Xenopus tropicalis: one gene and its partners. The protein of the gene in region 4 binds, or shares a complex with, the protein of the main gene of each other region. Links are inferred from orthologs where the notes say so. Each region holds a gene or a part of one and is shown on either strand. Other genes may lie near its edges. The genes, in order: irf2, zbtb16, banp, irf2bp2 and vgll4.

Region 1 (3,515 bases), on a different chromosome or scaffold from region 4:
CATAAAAAAGGCCATATCTGGCATTAGCCAAAGAAGGCATGTTGGTCGGCAATGCAATAGGATGGGGGGGGGGGGGGTTACATATTTTGCAGTAAGTACCTTGAGGCAGTTACGTTAATGTTTTGAGCTAATCCTCCAAATAAATTTGAGGTGTTGAGGAAAAAAATGTTTTGGCACGGAGGATTAACCATGACATAGGCTCCCTATTCTGCCTGGTAAATACTGCTAAATCACTACAATCTCAAAAAGCAGCACATCACATATAATATTTGTAAGAAAACTATTAAAAAAAAAATAGAAATTCCAGAGGCGTACCTCTTTTTGATGGCCTTTCTGCTACTGGGATCATCCTGTACACCCTGAAAGCATTATTTCCTTTTTTCATACTTTTATCCTTAACTTCTTCAATGTCTGGTAAAGAGTTCATAGCACAGCGAAAGTTTGCTTTCCATGTCTTTGGGTCTGGCTTGTCTATTCCAGGTTGATACTTCCCTTCAAAAAAAAAAAAAAAAAAACCACAAACACAACTTGAGCAGGTATGACTATAAAAGCTTATCTGTAATTACATAAATGTATAGCATCACCTCTGATTATAAGGGCTGTGGCAGACGGAGAGGCTAGTCGCCCGCAAAAATTCTCCCTTGTTGCGGGCGACGAATCTCCCCAAAATGCCATCCAACCGGCGAGTATGTAAATCGCCGGTGGGATGGCATACGTGGCGCCGTGATTTCCCCAAAATCACAGCCCTAATAATCTAATATAGTAAGAACCACCCGCACCAGGGACAGGGAGACAGCAAGTGACACTGCAACTGACAATTTGAAGCCAGAATTGCTGTTGGTGTGTGTGTGTTTATATCAGGGGAGTTAACCAGACAACATGACTACTAGCAATCTCACCCACACTAGAAGTGCCTTCAGGCAAGCAGCAACCCCCTGTGATGGTTTATGCAGACTCAGACTGAATTACTTTGGTCAACCAAATCAATGACATACCCTTGATGATCTGATAAAATAGTTACAGCTTAAGGTGGCCATACACGCACCGATAATATCGTACAAAACCTCGTTTCGTACAATATTCGGTGCGTGTATGGTATGTCGGCGAGTCGACCGATATCGCAGGAAGCTGCTGATATCGGCCGACTCGCCGATCGGACCAGTTGCAAATTTTCGTTGGGCGCCATAGAAGGCGCTTGATAAAAATCTCCCTTCAGCGCTGAATCGGCAGAAGGAGGTAGAAATCCTATTGTTTCTACCTCCTTACCTGCCGATTCAGCCCTGAATGGTGTGTGGCACATCTGACGATGTTTCGATCGCCACGTGTATGGCCAGCTTTAGTCATTAGGATACTGTCTGTACATGTAAAGGACCTGTTATCCAGAATGCTTAGAACCTGGGTTTTTTTTGGATAAGTCTGTTAAAAAATCATTTAAACATTAAGTAAACCCAAAAGGATTGTTTTGCCTCCATTAAGGATTAATTGTATCAAGTACAAGGTTCTTTAGAAAAAAAAAATAATTATTTGCTTATAATGCAGTCTATAGGAGATGGCATTCCTGTAATTCAGAGCTTTCTGGATAACAGATTTCCAGATAACAGACCCTATACCTGTAAATAATATGCAGCCTTTCAGTTTTTGTTGTTTTTCTAAAAAAAAAAAAAAAACATATAGCAACAAATGCAGGTGGAACAATGGTTCAATTTAAGGGACCCATTTGTCCTAAATATGAGGAGTTGTTAACCTTTAAGCTAACTTTTAATATGTTACAGAATGTCTAATTCTAAGCAACTTTTCAATTGTTTCTTTTTTATAGTTTTTAAATTATTTGCCTTCTTCTTCTGCCTCCTTCCAGCTTTCAAACGGGGGTCACTGACCCCAGAAGCCAAAAAACGATTGGTCTACGAGGCTACAATTTTATTGTTACTGTTAGACCATTTTTCTATTAATATTCCAGTCTCTCATTCAAATCAAAGCCAGGTTGCTAGGGTAATTTGGGCCCTAGCAAGCAGATAGCTGCTGAAATACCAAGCTGGAGAGCTTCTACATAAAAAGCTAAATAATAATAAAAAAAAAAAAAAAAGACCAATTGCAAATTGTCTCAGAATAACTTAACTATTAGTATGATATACAGAGTGTAAAAGGTGAACAGCCCCTCTAGGCCTGTGGATAAACGCAGATCAAAAATTATCTCCTATGTTTGAATCATTCCAACCCATTGACTGCACCTGGAGCCACTGTGTTTCAGCACTGAAATCTGCTCCATGTGCCTGCACCCAGGCATGCCCCAACACCTCCCCCATTACTTGTCGATTTCCTGTCAGAGCAGGAAAAGAGGTTGAGGGGGTATCAATGTCTACACTAGAATAGTCAAAAAATGGAATTTGGCTGTTAATGTTACCAGAGGCAGCTTTTTGCAACCCCAATAATGTGCCATTTGAGGAAAGGTCACTTTGCCTCATGACTGAAACATGCATAGTCCAAAAATAAATATTTCATCCATAGAATATAATAAATGAAGTCAATACCTGTGTGTATAGCCCAGTTTCTGAATAAAGGAGCATCCTTATCAACATCCCAGCCATGACGAGCAGCATGCATCCATGGAATCTGAAATATCTTTTTCTCCTGAAAAGTAGATACAAAAGTCTATCAAATCATATCTAGCCAATTATTAACAGTCAAATTACATGTTTACTTTAATACCTTTACCAAAATCGGAAAAGTGAAATCATAGTCTTTTTTAAATAAGGGGGGTTGTTTATACAGAGGGCTTTCAAGGGACTGCTGATTTGTTTTGATTATGTGTGTAGAACCAGCAGAAAGTAAAATATAGATTTACTTTAAATTCATAGTTTCCTATTATTTTTTGTGCAACAAATATAAAAAAAAAATACATATTTCCTAATTAAACAATACGCATGTTCGGCACAAACCAAATACATTAAACCAATGTTGACAAAGGGGGTACATTATTAATAATAAACCAAAATAGCTTCATCTATGTGCGCCATTGAGAAGAGGAACTTTTAGCTTCTGTGCAAAATCAAAAGCTGATCAAAATTTGTCTGATCCTGATGAACCAAAATATTTTTGAAATTGCTGGTTCTTTAACTGAAATGAATGAATGAATGAAACTGAAGGGAGCAGAAGGGGACAGAGTGTAAAGAGAGCAAACTGTGACTATAAAAAAAGCATCACTCCAGTTGTGCAGGGCTGATATGGTATCAGCTCAGAAGCATGCTGCGGGCCTTTAAATCTGCAATAGCAGCAAAATGCAAGAAGAAGAAGCAAAATGCCCCATATTCATTATACTACTCATCTGTACTGGCTCTGACTGGCAGCATCTGTACAAACTACAATATTTCTATCTGAAAATACCTCTCAGTGAATATATCCACTACTACAACTTAAATAAAACAAGAAAATGCAAGAATGAGTGGAAAGCTAAAGAGTCACAGTTCCTACTCATTGTCACTGAATTTGCTACCAGCATACAGACAAGTCAGGCAATA
Region 2 (4,085 bases), on a different chromosome or scaffold from region 4:
ATCAATTATTTGATGCATTTAAAGGGGAACTCCGCGCCAAACACAAATTAAGCTTTTTGAAAAATAAACATAATTTCAAGCAACTTTGCAATATACATCAATTCAAAAATATGCATCTTTTGATGATTTTTAATGTAATAATATGGTTTGGAACAGGTACCTAAGCCTGGCCCCCTGTTCTCCTGCTGATCTGGCTGACTACTTTGAGATTAAAAATAAAAATTTAACAGTAGTCGACTGTCCTCAGCCTGAATCCTCCAAATCTCACAATTCCCTGCACACGTGATGTCAATAAGGAAAAGAACATCACAGTGCTTTGTGGGTAATGTAGTTCCTGCATTCTGTCTGTAAGCTGTGGAGAATTTTTTTTTTTTTTTTAACATGTGTTTTAGTCCCTCCTCCCCTGCAAATGATGCAGAAAGGGAAGAACTGTTTTGCAGCTTGATTTCAGCATATAAAAATGGTATTTATTCAGTGATATGTGGGGCTCTTTTAAAAATGTTGGTTCCAAAGCCAGAGTTCCCCTTTAAGTGCGTTCCAACCAGCATCTCAAACATGTAAGAAAAAAAAAAACCATGTGTAAGGGCCCTTAATATACACATTAATGCTATACTTGATCTCTCATTTGTCCTGCCTTACATGAACCTCATTTAAGGAGAAGGTGGGCACCAAGCCTCACTCACACCATTTGATCCCCTATATACAATGTAGGATCGAATGTGTCTCCTAGTATTCATGTCCCTGGGTCAACTGTACCTTCCTTTATAAGAATGAAAAAAATCACAAAACGAATTGTATAACGCCACTGTTCTTTTAAAGACCCTCATTAGCAATGGGCTTTAGATAAGACAGTTAAATATGGTAAAGGAACCAAGCAGCCACAGTGGAATGTCTAAAGGACACTTCTGAAAGCGCAGACAGAATACACCGGGTACAAGTAAGGGGACCTATGTGATTATAGTATTCCTTTAACAAGAGAACGCAGACTATTTATTACTGTATATAGAAGCACTCGCTGTTGTTACCCCTACAGACACATTAGCATTCACGGTTCAGTACTTAATGAATGGAAATGCTGCGAGGTCTCGGCTCATGACAAGGCTGCGCTGTTATTCTCTACCCACAGAATTCCATAAACTACCGCCTTGCCGAGAACTATTATGTCTAACCCACACTGAAACCCGCCGATTCCCTGCCGCTTGAATCTTCAGAGCACCTGATGCTCCCTTTCCAACCACTCTTGACTGACACCAACCTTCCATTCCTTCCTAGCCAGGAGTAAGCATGGCGGCCGGCCGCTCCAGCATGGGGAGAGAGAGTCACGTGGGCCAGGCGCCGGCCTGACGTCATCGTTGTGTTGATTTGCTAACCTTAAAGGAGAGAGGAGTTAGTGAGCATGAGAGCGGGCACTGCGAACTGTTTGGATTAGGCTGCTGCTTTAAACAGCGCATCTCTACTCACATACATGCCTGCAGAGAGAGCTAGCAAAGGAAGAAGCCCATCTGAGGTGAGTGCAGCTAGTGAGCCTTTTATTCCTACAAAGTGAGCTACTCCCTAAACTTATCATAAGGGCATTTCTTATTGATAGCGGCTACAAGAGGCTGTGATTGGATTGAGTGGCTGAGTACAGTAATACAATACGCTGGGTTATAGTGTTCTGATACAAGCATGCTCAACCTGAGACCTTGCTGCGTTATAGTTCTCACTGTACCTCGGCAGCCTCCGCTTGTCTGGACATTGTGGGAAAGGTAACCCTAGCCGAGGGTGGGTAGGTCACGTCTGTGTCTATAGCCATGCTTGCACTTACACTGAGGGGAGCTTGCATTGCTCAGGCTCCGGAAAGTCGGAGTTGCGCTGGGTACATGCATACTTCATGACGTTTGTCTGTTTCCCCTTTACACTGACAATGCAAGCATATTATTGTCCTGTACGGGTTTAGTTGTGCACGTTAAGTGCTCTCCCTCCATCACTTTTTATAGTGATCCCAAGTCAACTTCAGCTGCTGCTGTGTGAGATCCGTGCGCTCTGCATGGCACAAAGCGCTGGAAAAGTTCATCAGAAATCCCGAATTAGCTGCTTATTGGCAGGATAGCGCTAATTGTGTATGCGCCGCCACACTCCCGGCACACAGGAGCCCCGTTATTATCCTTATGATCACTATTATTAGGTGAGGATAGAGAGCCGGTGAGGTGCACACTTACTGAGTACTGACAGAGCTATGGCTTGCGAATACTGATTTGAGGGATGCTCTATTGTGCACTGCAGGAAAGGCTGCGATACAGTTCATCATCTTGGATTAGAATTCGTACAGATCCACATCTGGTACTAATACAGATCGCTTTTCTACAAGGCACAATAGGGCATCCCTTAGCCCCAGCGCTGTCCTGCCATCCTAGGCGCAGGCTGTCCCAGTGGGTGCACATTGATTATTGTTAGTGTTATCATAATGTCGCACACTGATTCTGAGAGCCCCGCTGCCCTACCATTGAGCAACTCACGCACATTGGGATTAACTTTAAGCGCTTTGTGCAATGCAGGGGGCATGGCGCTATTTCGCTGTAAGGTGCAGACTCCTCCGTGCGCTGCAGGGAGACAATATCATTTCTTAGAATAAATTCCGTGCGCTGCAGGGAGACAGTGAGATTTCGCTTTCCTGCTGCTGCTCTGAGACGGGCATGGTGTTTGCACTTGTTTGTGTCTGCTGGTCCAGGTTTTCTTTCGGGAGATGGGATTCTATAGAGAAACTGTGATTTATTGCGTTTTATATAGATAAACAATAGAAAATTGCGTTTGATCACCCTTGGATTGTGACATCAATATCTTGCCATTCCCACTGTCTCTTTGCATTTCATCTGTTGAATGAAAACCCGAGCTTTTCCCTCCGCTCCCCTTTTCTCGTGGAATATTTTTATTTTTGTGCATTTTTAGTATTATTCCTGTAGATTTCATTCATATGTGTGCTTTCCATTGCTTCCCTCTCTCCCCATAAAACATCATGTTCTCAATTCTATCCAGAATTTTGTTATGAAACTGCCCCGCCCCTGTATCCCTGCTGTATCTGTCTGTACAGTGCGATCTATCTGGATCGGTCTGGCCGCTAATTCCATTCTATACGAATCTTTGAGCTGGATACCGGGCTCCGTGCGCTAAAAGCCCCGCGTCAGTATTTGGTGCTCTCTACATTTCTGTCACTGTATATTGGAGGTGGGGTACGGCAGAGAGGACAATTGCAGGATATTGTCAGTATACATTTCACTGATTTTAGCCTGCAACCTTCTAGCTGTTGCTCTACTACAACTCGTAGCATCACCAGTAGGAGGGTGCTGGGAGTTGTTGTTTCACAGCAGCTGAAGGGGCTGCAGGTTGGATAACCCTGATTTGTTGGCCCTTCACCTCAGGTTGCCCTAACTGAGCTGCTCTTATTATTAAGTGACATCTTGTCACATTGCCTCATATTTTACTTATTTTGAACCCCCCCACCATTAAAACGTCTTTCCTCCAAACAAGGGTTAATATCCGTGTGATCTAATCTTCATGTTATTTATGCTATCATGGGTTTTTATGCAACATGTATGATTTCCAAAAACTTGATGTGCCAGGGGTTTAAATAGGCTAAATCTTGGCAATACACAACTGATAAAGAACTTTTAATAGTTCACTAATTAACCCTTCCAGCTCATCAAAAGCAGCTTTGTTCTGTCACAGGGTGTCTTTCCGACCCCCCCACCCTTCCTCCCATCCCCTGTCCAAAGAAAAACAAACAGGAGACTCACAACTGAAACCAATAGATCTGTTTGTCCTTGTTGCAAACCTCCAGGCTGGTGTCCTTGTTTGTAACAAACCTTCTCCTGTATGGGCATTTGCATGGGCATCGTCATGGGCAGAGCTCGCTTTGCTTTATTCTTTATACAGTACATAAACCATAACTTGCTGCCTCAATTGCTTTTTTTGCTTGTTCTTGAAAATTTGCGTGTTTTTTAACAGAGACTTAGCAGTTTCTTCTGTAAAACGCTTACGCACCCATAAAAGTCTGCAGAAATAGAATTCTTTTATGGATAGAGGTAAACTGTAGCCCATATTTTATC
Region 3 (3,515 bases), on a different chromosome or scaffold from region 4:
GAGTGCTTATGGCTGTATTTACATAGACCTTTCTAATAAAGCTTACTTAGTTTTTACCTTTCCTTCTCCTTTAAGGGGAAAACAAATTTTTATTGTTGGCAGTGGAATTAAAAAAAAAAAAAAAAAAAAACTAATTTGGAAAATGTTTTTAGTGATTTAGGCAGTTCTAATTTGGAAACTTGTCCGAAGGTGAAAAACCCCAATAATTGAAAGCTAAACATAATGACATACCTTCAGAATTTAAGGTGATCAGGGTGACATTGTTGCCCATATTTGGGTTTCCTGAATTACCGCAATTAGACAGTGTATCACTAGCCTCAGAACCACTGTCATTGTCATCATCATTGTGGCTGTCCTCAGGGGCAGGAACTTTCACTACAATTGTGTTGTGTCTTCTTCCAGGAACTGCACTGAAATGTAGAGTAATATTTTTTTTTTAAAAAACTCCCATACTATAGCAACACAATAAGCAACAAATATTGTACTATAAAAACTTGATAGCAAAACTAAGAAAAGTTCATATTTGTTGTCATAGCAACATGCAGAATAACTACACCCATCATCACCTTTGTAATAATACTGTAAACAAAAAAGCTTAAAAGCTGTATTAAAAGCTGTAATATGTACAGGGTGACATAAAATGTTTTGTATTACTAAAAAAAAAGATTAAAAACATTAAATATTGTTAGAAGTGGTTGGGAGAAAAGCCATCAGGTTACATTTTGAATTAATATCATTTCATACAGTGGCAACATAATAATTAGCAACGATTGCTCATCCTTTACATCACACTCTGCCTTGTGAACACCGATACATTGGTGCTGCATGAATGTAGAGAAATCAGTACTTCCCCAAAAATGCATTTTTCTGCATGCAACATTGTTTCATAGATAGTCACAAATCAAGAGTATTTTAAGTGAATCCAATTTAAAGGGAAGATTTAATAAAAAGAGATAGAGAAAACTAAAACAAGATTTATATCCTGCAGGGCTAAATAATACCTTTGAATTGCCCCTAATCAATCTCTCTCAAGAATCATTGGCTACAATGAAGATGAAGGAGATAAAGAGTCACAAGTAATGTGTTGGACTGGGCCGCCGGAGCACTAGGAAAAAACCCAGTGGGCCCTGGCAAGCCAGACTTGATCCCAGCAGGGTGCACCACTAATCCGCCAGTTTAATTTAGGCACGATTGATTGGTAAAACTGTTTTGTCTATTAAAGGGGTGGTTCAACTTTAAGTTAATTTTTAGTTACAAAATGACCTAATCCTAGCAACTTTGCAACTGGTTTTCATTGTCTATTTTTTATAGCCTTTTTAATAATTAACCTTCCTCTTCTGACAGTTTTTAAGTGGTGGTCACAGACCCTAAAGGTGGCCATACACGCTAAGATCCGCTCACTGGGCGATCAAGATTTGGCCGATTTCCGGCCAGATGTTGGTCGGGCAGGCCCGTCGTTAATGGCCATACACGAGCCGATAAACTGCCGAAACGGTCTAAGGGACGAATATAGGCAGCTAGAATTGGCCCGTGTATGGCCACCTTAACAGTCTAAAACTATTAGTTATTTTTACTAATAAACTAAGTTTAAGTAACTTTAAGTTTTAATAACTATTTTACATTTAGTTGATTGTTCACAGTAACACTCTTCAATACAGAGCAAATTCCATATTTAGAAGGAATCCACAGTTTAATACACAGGATTTAATTATCTTCATTAATTTTCTTTAAAAAATGCAGTAAAAAGGCTTTAATAATGAGTTTTTAGAAAAAGGGGGCATAACATTCCTGCTCTGAAAACCTTATTTACATATTAAGCAGCCATATTGCTTACCTAAGCAGATGAGTACCTGTAAAAGGAGCAAAAGAACAAAACTACAATTATAGCAAGAGGTGCTTTGTAAGAGGACATTGCCAGACAAGAAACAGATGGGACAGAAACAATTTCCCACTCCTCTTACCAAAGTAGATATAGTTGACCTCAATTATCATAGTCATTTGTGAAGAAATAGGTTATTTACACTTATAATAAAGATGCATGTTAAAAAAAAAAAAACTAACTATGGTTAGATTCATCTTTTGGTGTCGGGGGAGGCTAGAAGATAAATAATAAACTATTACCTATTCAGCATGTTTTCAAGGGTTTCTGTTGAACTGTTTATAGACTCTTCGCGACCCTCCAGTTTAGTCACACCTGGGGTTTGTCTTTCACTGTTCAGTATTACTGTAGTCTGCGGTACAACACTAAAAAAAGAAACAGACATTTTAAGTGGTTTTAATGTCACAGGGTCCAAATACTTTAAGCTATTGGTAATGAAGTAAACATTTTACTAGAAATCCATATTTACATAGACGAAAAGGGACAAAAATGCTACTGCAAATATTCATCAAATGTTGCATGCTTTTATATAATTAAATGGTGAAGATTTTTCATATTTAAAAAAAAACAAAAAAAGCCATTCTGCTCTGTTTTATATGCATTCAACTAGGATGTCAACCATTTACAGTCATCATTCAGCTTGACACAGAATAGTCTGTGAGTATGTACAAAAGAATGCTGGTTATAAGAGTGATAGAGCCTAGGTACATACACAAATGGTCACAAATTAGAAGCCAACAAGTTACACAAACAATCTATTTCTCCTTTAATCTGGACTAACACAAGAGTAAAAGGTTAGTTTTAGAAGATTTCAGTAGTTATTTTATTACTCAAAAAGAGACACTTTCAACAAAACCCATACAGCCAGCAAATGGTTTTGGTTTCAATATTTTGCCAAAAATACTTAGTAAGAATTTAGTTTTTCAAGTGCAAATTTAAATATTCTTACTTTTTCTTATGGTAAGAGAAGCCTAGTTGAGTAATCAGCTTTTTCAGTAAATGCTAAGTTTTTTTTTCCAGCCTGTGAATATCCTTCCTGTGTGTCCAGGTCTGATGACCAAGTTTGCGAATGGGAAACCTTGTTTCATCAGCTTCATCGCAGAAGTCTTGAAACCAAAACTTTGACTGCATTTTTTTTCTTAGTTTCAGTGCAGTTTAATTTACACATTACACATTTTCAAAGTCCTATAAAACTACTAATATTCCTAGCCTGTGCCAAATGGTGCTTCATAAAGGCAGGATAATGAGTTATCATCAATTCTCTGCATGTCACAGCGGGATCAGGTGATTTACACCACTAATTGGCATGTAAACAAAAGAAAAGGACAGATCAAAAAGTTAGCACTATATTACAAGTACTAGATTCAACATTTTCACCATTTTTGAAAGAGACATAAGCTGCCACTTACAGGGTTAGACAGATGCTATCATTTTTAACTTGCATTTTCTAATAAAAAATATAAAACAATTAATGCTTTATTATTTAACCCTACCTAAACTAAGCTCATGGTTATGGCTTTGACTGAGTTGGCTCTCTGTCTGTGGCTGGAGGGCTATAATCTTACCATCTCATCCACAGCCTTTCTATTGTTATGGTTCCCTAATAAGAAGCTGTAAGATGCAAAGCCTAGAAGTA
Region 4 (3,942 bases):
CTCAAAAGGCAGGAAAGACATATGTTTACATTTATGCCAGATTCTAAAATCTGTCAAAAGTGTTCACGCTATATTATTCCCATAAACATAAATTGCTTTCCAACTTTAACTTCACACATCAAATACAGAAGATTCGTATACACTGCAATGGATTAGACTTTTTAAAAAAGCAGCTTTAAAGGGACAAGTCTTATTAAAATGTTTTGAATGTCTTAACAGCAGGCAAACAGGCCCATACAAGAAAACCATCCACAAAAGATATGTTAAATATTCACTAGATGGCTCCTACCCCTTACAGTGAAGTACAAATTCTGTCTACTGCAACTGATGGTGAAATGTGAAAGGATACCTTATACACACACACTTACTAAGAGTGGAAATTTCCATTCCTTATACATACTGCTTCTGACAAACAGTGTAAGAACTGGTTATTGCTATTCTGATTAGTAACCCCTATTTTAAACCAAATATACTATGTTTATTCTTAAAGACATAATACTGTAAAACATTTAAAGTTAGGGTGACGACAATAGACAATGCTGATCATTTACTGATAATTTTCTCTGCATGTTTTAGCAGAGGGATTTCTCAGTATTATATATGACTGGTTATTTTCAGGCATTTAGTAGCCATGACAAGTAGTTGCTACTGAGTAACTGTGTGCCTTCACCCTGAAGTAGCAGGGCATATGTTGAGCAACATGTCATTAGAAAATGACCAAATCTGCCTACACAAAGTTCTAATTGCCCCCCCCCCCCCCAAAGAAAAAACTAAACAATTAGCAAGCTGATAAATAGCAATGAAATGGGTGGAAGTTTGACAATGCCCAGAGACTATGAAAATCTAAAATCATTTCAGCCTTGTCCCTGAGAGTTTTTATCCAATGAAGGTTTGCACACAGAGATACAGCCATATAAAAGAGAAAACGAGTAGAGAAGCTAATCTTACTAAACAGTAAAAGGGCGAATGACTAAAACAGAGGAAACTTTAGAAGTCCCCGACCCTTGCAAATTGCTAGATCAGCAGATAAACACGTTGCATGTATGCTGCGGGTCTGACTTTAGGGCAGGGCACAGAGCCTGATGGGTGCACCCTTTCGGTGCCGGCATGTCCTGCACATGGCATCCTATACTCCAAGCCGTGTGCCAATAGCAGGAATGTCTGCACTCCCTTCAGCCCACCTATTTAGCAAGAGACCGCAGTATCAGTGCAAGGCTGAGTTCACGACCATGTAAAAAAGCCCCGTTACATTTATGTGAAATACGAATTTCCCTCGCTACAGTCTAGGTGCCAACCATGAACACATTGGAGAGCCTCATACCAGATTTGGAAGCGGGGTTGTTGGCTTCAAAGCTCAGCACCCTTCCGGGCCCGGGGTCCTTCTTGAATTTGGAGTCAAAGGGCGAGTGGCTGTGCTGCATGGCCATCAGAGTGTCCCTGACCGTCTTGGGCTTGCTGATCCACTCCTCGGCCCTGCTCTTGTGGTTCTCGCCCAGCTCTGAGTAGCTGTCGGCCCTGTGCTTCTCCTTGCCATCGTGCTCACTGCTGGAGACAGAGCCCGGCCGCTTGCCAGACAGGTCCGCAGAGGTGGTGGCGGCGGCGGCTGCCACCAAAGAGGCCGCAGAGAGTCCGACTGGTGTCCGGCCGCTGCCAATGGGGGCGCCGTTCATAAGTGCGCCGAGGGACTGAGGCACCGAGCTAGTCCTGCGCGGGTTGGGGCTCTGCCGGTTTAGTTCCGGCGGCTCCTCTGGCTTCGGGAAGCCGTTGGGTAAGAGAATCCCATTCACTTGCCTGCCAACGCCATATTCCGATCCCAGACGAGGGGGCGGCGGTCTCTCCAGCGAGTAGCGGTCCAGGCACTGCGGAGGAGGGGGCTGCTGCGAGGTCCGTGTTACCCCCTCGGGGCCCCCCATCGTGTGCCCGATCTGCGCCATCTCCTTTGCGCTGAGCTGCGGCTTGACTGAAGAGGAGGAGGAAGATGACGAGGAGGATGAAGGCGAAGGCCCGGGGGACCTGCCCTCCTGGAACCCGTGCGCCCGCTTCAAGTGCCGGGCCGTCTCGATGACAAACTCAATGCGATCGGCCCCTTCGTAGTTGACGCAGCCCCGGCACACGGGCTCCGTGAAGTCCCAAATCATGGCCCATGGCATGCGTGGCAGGTCGCAAAGGTAACACGACTGCCGCCGGGAGGCGGCCACCGTCGCCGACGACATAACAATAAAATTATAATCCACCGTTTATTATTTGTGTGTGTTCTGTCCAGTAAATAGGTATATTCCAAATTTGGAAATCGGCGCAATTTTCCTCCCCTGCAACCCGTATGATGGATGATCCTTGCACTGAAAAGAAAATGGTCGGGCTCAGCCTCGAGGAGCGGGGCGGCGGCGCCCTCCGCCTCGGCTGCTGCTGGCGATTCCGGCTTGAAGCATACACACTACGCCCAGCTCTGGATCCACGGGAGGAGGAGGAATTATTATATATTTTTTTTCTGAAGTGCTTCTCCCTTCTCTCGCTTTCCTCAGCTGCACAGCTCCAGGGAGGGAGGGAGAGGAGGGGGGAGGGGAGCCGGCCCGGTGATAGGCTGCTGCTTCAGTCACCAGAGCGGCCCCCCCTTCCCTGAACTGCCAGGAGCTCACAACAACTCGGGGCTAACCCTTTCGTGCACTTGGTGAGCGCCGAACAAATATAATGTGTTGCCGGAGCGAAACAGGAAAATGTCCTCACGTATGGGACAGTAATTCTACAGCCGCCGAAGCCACTGCTGTAGTTTCCCGCCTCCCTCTCTGGCCGCCGCCGCAGCTAGCAGTGCCGCTAAAGGGTGGTGACGTCACGGTCGAGCCAACCGTTGTGATTCCAAGTTCTCTGTTTACTTGATTCTTCGACAGTCCCCGGCCAACCACCACCCCCTCCGCGCAGGCGCACTTAGTGTAACTGACGTACCCGCCCACGCTTCTTCACCCTATTCTCCCCACCCCCCCCCTTCCGTCTTCTTTGAACTGCTGCCAAGACAACAAACAAGAGCTGCAACAGGACGAGAAGCACTGACTCAGTTACTATGCCCTGTTGCAAGAGCTGGGAGAAAGGAGGCGGAGGGGAGGGAGAGGAGGAAAAAGACTTGGATGCGCGTGATGCAAACGTAGGCTTTAATTGTATTCGCAGAAATGAATTTATAGTTCATTTTGTGGCAGTGAAAGCCCACTACCTATGGCCTGGGTCTCCGCAGAATACGGTCCAATTACACGCATACCCTTTCGCGCAGTACAATAATTGGGGGTCCTGAATAATGTCTAAGTTGGATTTTGACATTTAATTGTGTGGTTTGTCCATGGGGCAAACATAAAAGGGACAAAATCGCCAAATTACACCATGTATATACTTTCTCTTTAAACGTACCCAATTGTGCCACAACACGCCATATTTAGTGCGAGTCAGTCCCTCAGGTGTAATATCAAAGTGAATGGAAAGAAAAACAGGCAAATAATGATTAACCAATGTGGAGTCGAGGGAAACCAAAGTCCTTCCAGAAATATCCTGCTCCTCGCCCTCCCTCTCATGTGCACTAGTTTCAGGCAAGGCCCGCCCTCTCCCAAAGGACACTCTTTAACTACTTGTTCACTTTATAAACTCGTTATCCAGCCAGCATTTATCACTGTTGGTTTTTCCATTCCTTCTGCAATTAAAACTGGAAAGTGCCTTATTTTCCTCCCTCTCCTCCCCCCGCCGCCGCCTGGTATTAAGGGTGCTGAATCACTTAGCCAAGGGCGCTTGAGTTAGCAGGAAAAGAGCGAGGTCAGAGCAGAGAGTGCAGCGAGCGGCTTACAAAACACATTGCAATTGTAACGTGTGCTGTGGGGGGAGGGGGCGCTAGTCCCTTAACCCCCTCTCTTCCGTAATGATTCATGAGGGAACCTTCAAAGGTTCTAATGAAGGAATGAAACGCGA
Region 5 (3,515 bases), on a different chromosome or scaffold from region 4:
TAAGGTCCCTATCCCATTCCCATCAGTCCCTGCCCCAGTGAGCTTACAATCTATCATCAATATTGCATTCCCATTAGTGCCTGCCCCAGAGGAGCTTACAATCTAAGGTCCCTGTCACATTCACACACACTATGGGCAATTTAGTTAGAAGCCAATTAACCTGCCTGTATGTTTTTGGAGCATGGGAAGAAACTGGGGGACCCAGAGGAACCCACACAGACACAGGGGGAACATACAAACTCCCCGCAGATAGCACCCTGGCTGGGATTGAACTCAGTACCCCGGCGCTGCAAGGTATGAGTGCTCCCCCCGTGCTATTAATGATAACACAAATATGAATTATTTTTATTATTGTTTATATGCACCCTAAAGGCCTAGCAAAGCAAATTCCAGGGGGCTTTATGGGGTGCATTCCCAAGTATAGAGGAAACAACCATGCCATATTGTATCCCAGGGGAACTTACAAGTGCGGAGGAAACATCCGACTCATTTTGGAGACATGGTCGTTGTCACATTCTAGCTCCTCGTCTCCTTGGTCCATGCTGAGCTTTCGTTTGCTGGGGCTGATGGGGGGTGGGGCTGTCCGGGGAATGGACAGAGCAGAGGTCATGGGGAGGGGCTGCACCCTGGGGTCACTCCGTAACGCCGCTTCCCCTGTGGAAAGAACAGAAAATTCAGGTGAAACCGTGGCCATTGGCTGTGGGTGACACAGAAATAGAGAGAGAACCGGATGATCTGCAAATACGTGAACCCCGATATTTAATAGGAAATAGTGCAAAACAGATCCGATGCTGAAACGGAGACATCCTATTGTTTCTGGAAATTTGCAATTTGTTGCCAACAACCAGTTGGGGGGTGAGGGGCATGTTCCCCACTGCGCTGCACCCCCTTTTCTTTCCCCAACACTCTGTAACCATTTTGGAAACAAGGAGCTTGTATTTGTGGGTGCAGTGGGGGCAACTGGGTTCCCAATGGACTTTGGCCCGAAGATCCCAGCACCCAATATTGGTTTTGGATTCTCCGGATTCTCTATCTTTTAATGATATTACATACTGTAGGGGATGGACTCCCCAAGTTCTTTGCAATTTTATGTTGCCCCCCCATACAGTGTGTCACAGAGCGAGCTCCCACCCCCATCTTTTCTTCTGAGAGACCCCCCTGCCTCTCTGGGATCCACTCTTTTTAGCATTAACAGCTTTCCTGCTTTTATTGCCCCCTGCCCAACTTTTTGGAGTGTGTTGCTGCCCTCAAATTCAAAATGAGCAGAGATTTTTCAGAATCAATAAATCCCCGTTTCGCTACTAAATATCAGGGTTCGTTGATTTGCAAATAAATGGGTTCTTTTCTTGGAGATTAGAGGTTTGTATAATGCCAAGTGGTTTTACTCGGCCTGCCTTGGCTAAGTGTACTTATCCCTACCCCCCAGAGGAATATTGGGGCAAGACTGAGTAAATACAAGGAGTTGGCCATAGGTCGGGCAGCTTTACTTTATAGAAATACTGACGGCTGCAAAGCCCGACTTCCCCCGGTGCCGCCACTAAACACAGCCCTGTAAAGAAAGGTTTATTTACACTGTACCGGAATATCTCCTCAGCGGTGACTCTGCCCAAGATAAACGCCTGCCCGCCCCCAGCACAAACACGGCCGTGCCAACCCAGACAGCAAGCAGCGACCCACAATCCATCCCAGGCCTGATCTGGCACCCACAGCCGTCTGTAATTTTCCACTTCCAGCCCAGCGGAACGGAGCCGGCAGAGAAGGCATTGGCTGGCTCCAGGTTGGATAAGGGATAATAGGAATAATGGGATCTTTATCCAGATACAGATTGTGCCGGGCTGCCCAGGGAACCAGCCGTGTATGGGCACTACTGACGGGCCTGCCCGACCGATATCTGGCCTGAAATTGGCCAGATCTCGATCGGGCAGGTTAGAAAATCTAGTCGAATAGGGGACCGCATTGGCTCGTTGATGTGGTCCCCGGACCGACTTTTGCTATGCCCGTCGTTAGAATTCGATCGTTTGGCCCCAGGGGTGAATCTGCCCGTGTATGGAGACCTTTAGGTTGAAGATACACGGGTCGATTAGTTGATGCAAGTTTTTAAAAAGTCGCTGCAACTAATTGGCGTACCGCAATTACTAATTTGCAGCAAATAATTAGTTGCAGCAACTTGTACATTAGTACAGGTCAGCTAAATCGATGCAATTAGTTGAAGCGATTGTTGTTGCAGCGACGAATCGCCCCATGTGTCTTTGCCCTAATGGAGAAGACACACGGAGCTACTAGTAGCAGCTACTAAAACAGACAATGCTGATCATTTACTGATAATTGTCCCTACGTGTGTTTAGCAGAGGCAATTCTCAGTATTGTCTATGGCAGGGGATATTCTGGCATTTAGTTGCCGTGACAAGTAGCTGCTACTAAGTAGCTCTGTGTGTCTTCGCCCTTTACCCTACATAAGCAGCTGTTTGTACTTTGCCAGCCTTGGACTATAATGCACCTTCCCGTAGCAGTGCCAGCGGATCCTTTGAGCCCAAGACGCCCAGACACTCATTTCCTGCCATTCTTATTCCCATTGGTGCAGACGCACAGAGATAACGCTCCAGCTTTTATACAGAAGGGACATGAGGGAAAGGCCAAGTGAATTCAGTGGCGGAGAAATACAGGATAATGAGAAGAATGAAACCTTATCCACAAGTGGGAGTTGGGCGCCCAAAAGAGAAACGGCACAGGGAGGCACGGATACAGAGCACCAGCCCTCCTGTAACTTACAAAGCAGATTTATTGCCTCAGTCGCTGGAAATGAACCCGGCCAGACTATAAATACGAGTGCAGGGAATCCCCTTCCCAAGGCCACAGCCAACCGTAGGTTACAGAAATGCTGTTGTGCAAAGGGTTAAAACCTCAACATGCAAAGTAAATCTGGGGATTAAGTGACTGCGGGTGAGTTTAAGGTGAGCCCGGGGTTTGTGTGTTACTCGCGCAGAGCAAATACACACGTAAGAGGGTGAGATTATAATCCTGTATATAGAGGCCAGGGGGTGAGATTATAATCCTGTATATAGAGGCCAGGGGGTGAGATTATAATCCTGCATATAGAGGCCAGGGGGTGAGGTTATAATCCTGGATATAGAGGCCAGAGGGATAGATTATAATCCTGTATTTAGAGGCCAGGGGGTGAGATTTTAATCCTGTACATAGAGGCCAGGGGGTGAGGTTATAATCCTGGATATAGAGGCCAGGGAGTGAGATTTTAATCCTGTACATAGAGGCCAGGGGGTGAGGTTATAATCCTGGATATAGAGGCCAGAGGGTCAGGTTATAATCCTGTTTATAGAGGCCAGAGGGAGAGATTATAATCCTGTATATAGAGGCCAGGGAGTGAGATTTTAATCCTGTACATAGAGGCCAGGGAGTGAGGTTATAATCCTGTTTATAGAGGCCAGAGGGAGAGATTATAATCCTGTATATAGAGGCCAGGGAGTGAGATTTTAATCCTGTACATAGAGGCCAGGGAG

The links.
Region 1: the proteins of irf2bp2 (region 4) and irf2 are in contact, whole or in part, in a crystal structure (PDB 8YTG), measured with the Homo sapiens proteins. The link is inferred for Xenopus tropicalis from reciprocal best matches to the Homo sapiens genes IRF2BP2 and IRF2. Residues at the interface, in NP_892017.2 of Homo sapiens: His517, Phe518, Val519, Gln520, Pro522, Phe531, Leu557, Trp564, Ala565, Phe566, Met567, Glu570, Thr573, Ile574; in NP_002190.2 of Homo sapiens: Arg331, Ala332, Ser333, Val334, Ile335, Lys336.
Region 2: the proteins of irf2bp2 (region 4) and zbtb16 are in contact, whole or in part, in a crystal structure (PDB 8YTH), measured with the Homo sapiens proteins. The link is inferred for Xenopus tropicalis from reciprocal best matches to the Homo sapiens genes IRF2BP2 and ZBTB16. Residues at the interface, in NP_892017.2 of Homo sapiens: Thr516, His517, Phe518, Val519, Gln520, Pro522, Phe531, Leu557, Trp564, Ala565, Phe566, Met567, Glu570, Thr573, Ile574; in NP_001018011.1 of Homo sapiens: Arg285, Ser287, Val288, Ile289, Thr290, Ser291.
Region 3: irf2bp2 (region 4) and banp share a complex: the UniProt entries of both Homo sapiens proteins name them as parts of the corepressor complex. The link is inferred for Xenopus tropicalis from reciprocal best matches to the Homo sapiens genes IRF2BP2 and BANP.
Region 5: the proteins of irf2bp2 (region 4) and vgll4 are in contact, whole or in part, in a crystal structure (PDB 8YTF), measured with the Homo sapiens proteins. The link is inferred for Xenopus tropicalis from reciprocal best matches to the Homo sapiens genes IRF2BP2 and VGLL4. Residues at the interface, in NP_892017.2 of Homo sapiens: Thr516, His517, Phe518, Val519, Gln520, Pro522, Phe531, Leu557, Trp564, Ala565, Phe566, Met567, Glu570, Thr573, Ile574; in NP_055482.2 of Homo sapiens: Arg161, Ser163, Val164, Ile165, Thr166.

The regions. Positions count from the first base shown.
Region 1 is NC_030677.2:44,894,971-44,898,485, reverse strand, and holds part of irf2 (interferon regulatory factor 2), read right to left. Parts: intron 2,629-3,515; coding exon 2,529-2,628; intron 493-2,528; coding exon 316-492; intron 1-315. UniProt on the Homo sapiens protein: Specifically binds to the upstream regulatory region of type I IFN and IFN-inducible MHC class I genes (the interferon consensus sequence (ICS)) and represses those genes. Also acts as an activator for several genes including H4 and IL7.
Region 2 is NC_030683.2:85,512,538-85,516,622, forward strand, and holds the start of zbtb16 (zinc finger and BTB domain-containing protein 16), read left to right. Parts: upstream 1-1,277; 5' UTR 1,278-1,507; intron 1,508-4,085. UniProt on the Homo sapiens protein: Acts as a transcriptional repressor. Transcriptional repression may be mediated through recruitment of histone deacetylases to target promoters. May play a role in myeloid maturation and in the development and/or maintenance of other differentiated tissues.
Region 3 is NC_030680.2:65,855,090-65,858,604, reverse strand, and holds part of banp (protein BANP), read right to left. Parts: intron 2,245-3,515; coding exon 2,122-2,244; intron 411-2,121; coding exon 232-410; intron 1-231. UniProt on the Homo sapiens protein: Controls V(D)J recombination during T-cell development by repressing T-cell receptor (TCR) beta enhancer function. Binds to scaffold/matrix attachment region beta (S/MARbeta), an ATC-rich DNA sequence located upstream of the TCR beta enhancer.
Region 4 is NC_030681.2:55,743,069-55,747,010, forward strand, and holds the start of irf2bp2 (interferon regulatory factor 2-binding protein 2), read right to left. Parts: upstream 2,804-3,942; 5' UTR 2,214-2,803; coding exon 1,322-2,213; intron 1-1,321. UniProt on the Homo sapiens protein: Acts as a transcriptional corepressor in a IRF2-dependent manner; this repression is not mediated by histone deacetylase activities. Represses the NFAT1-dependent transactivation of NFAT-responsive promoters.
Region 5 is NC_030680.2:151,267,984-151,271,498, reverse strand, and holds part of vgll4 (transcription cofactor vestigial-like protein 4), read right to left. Parts: intron 655-3,515; coding exon 465-654; intron 1-464. UniProt on the Homo sapiens protein: May act as a specific coactivator for the mammalian TEFs.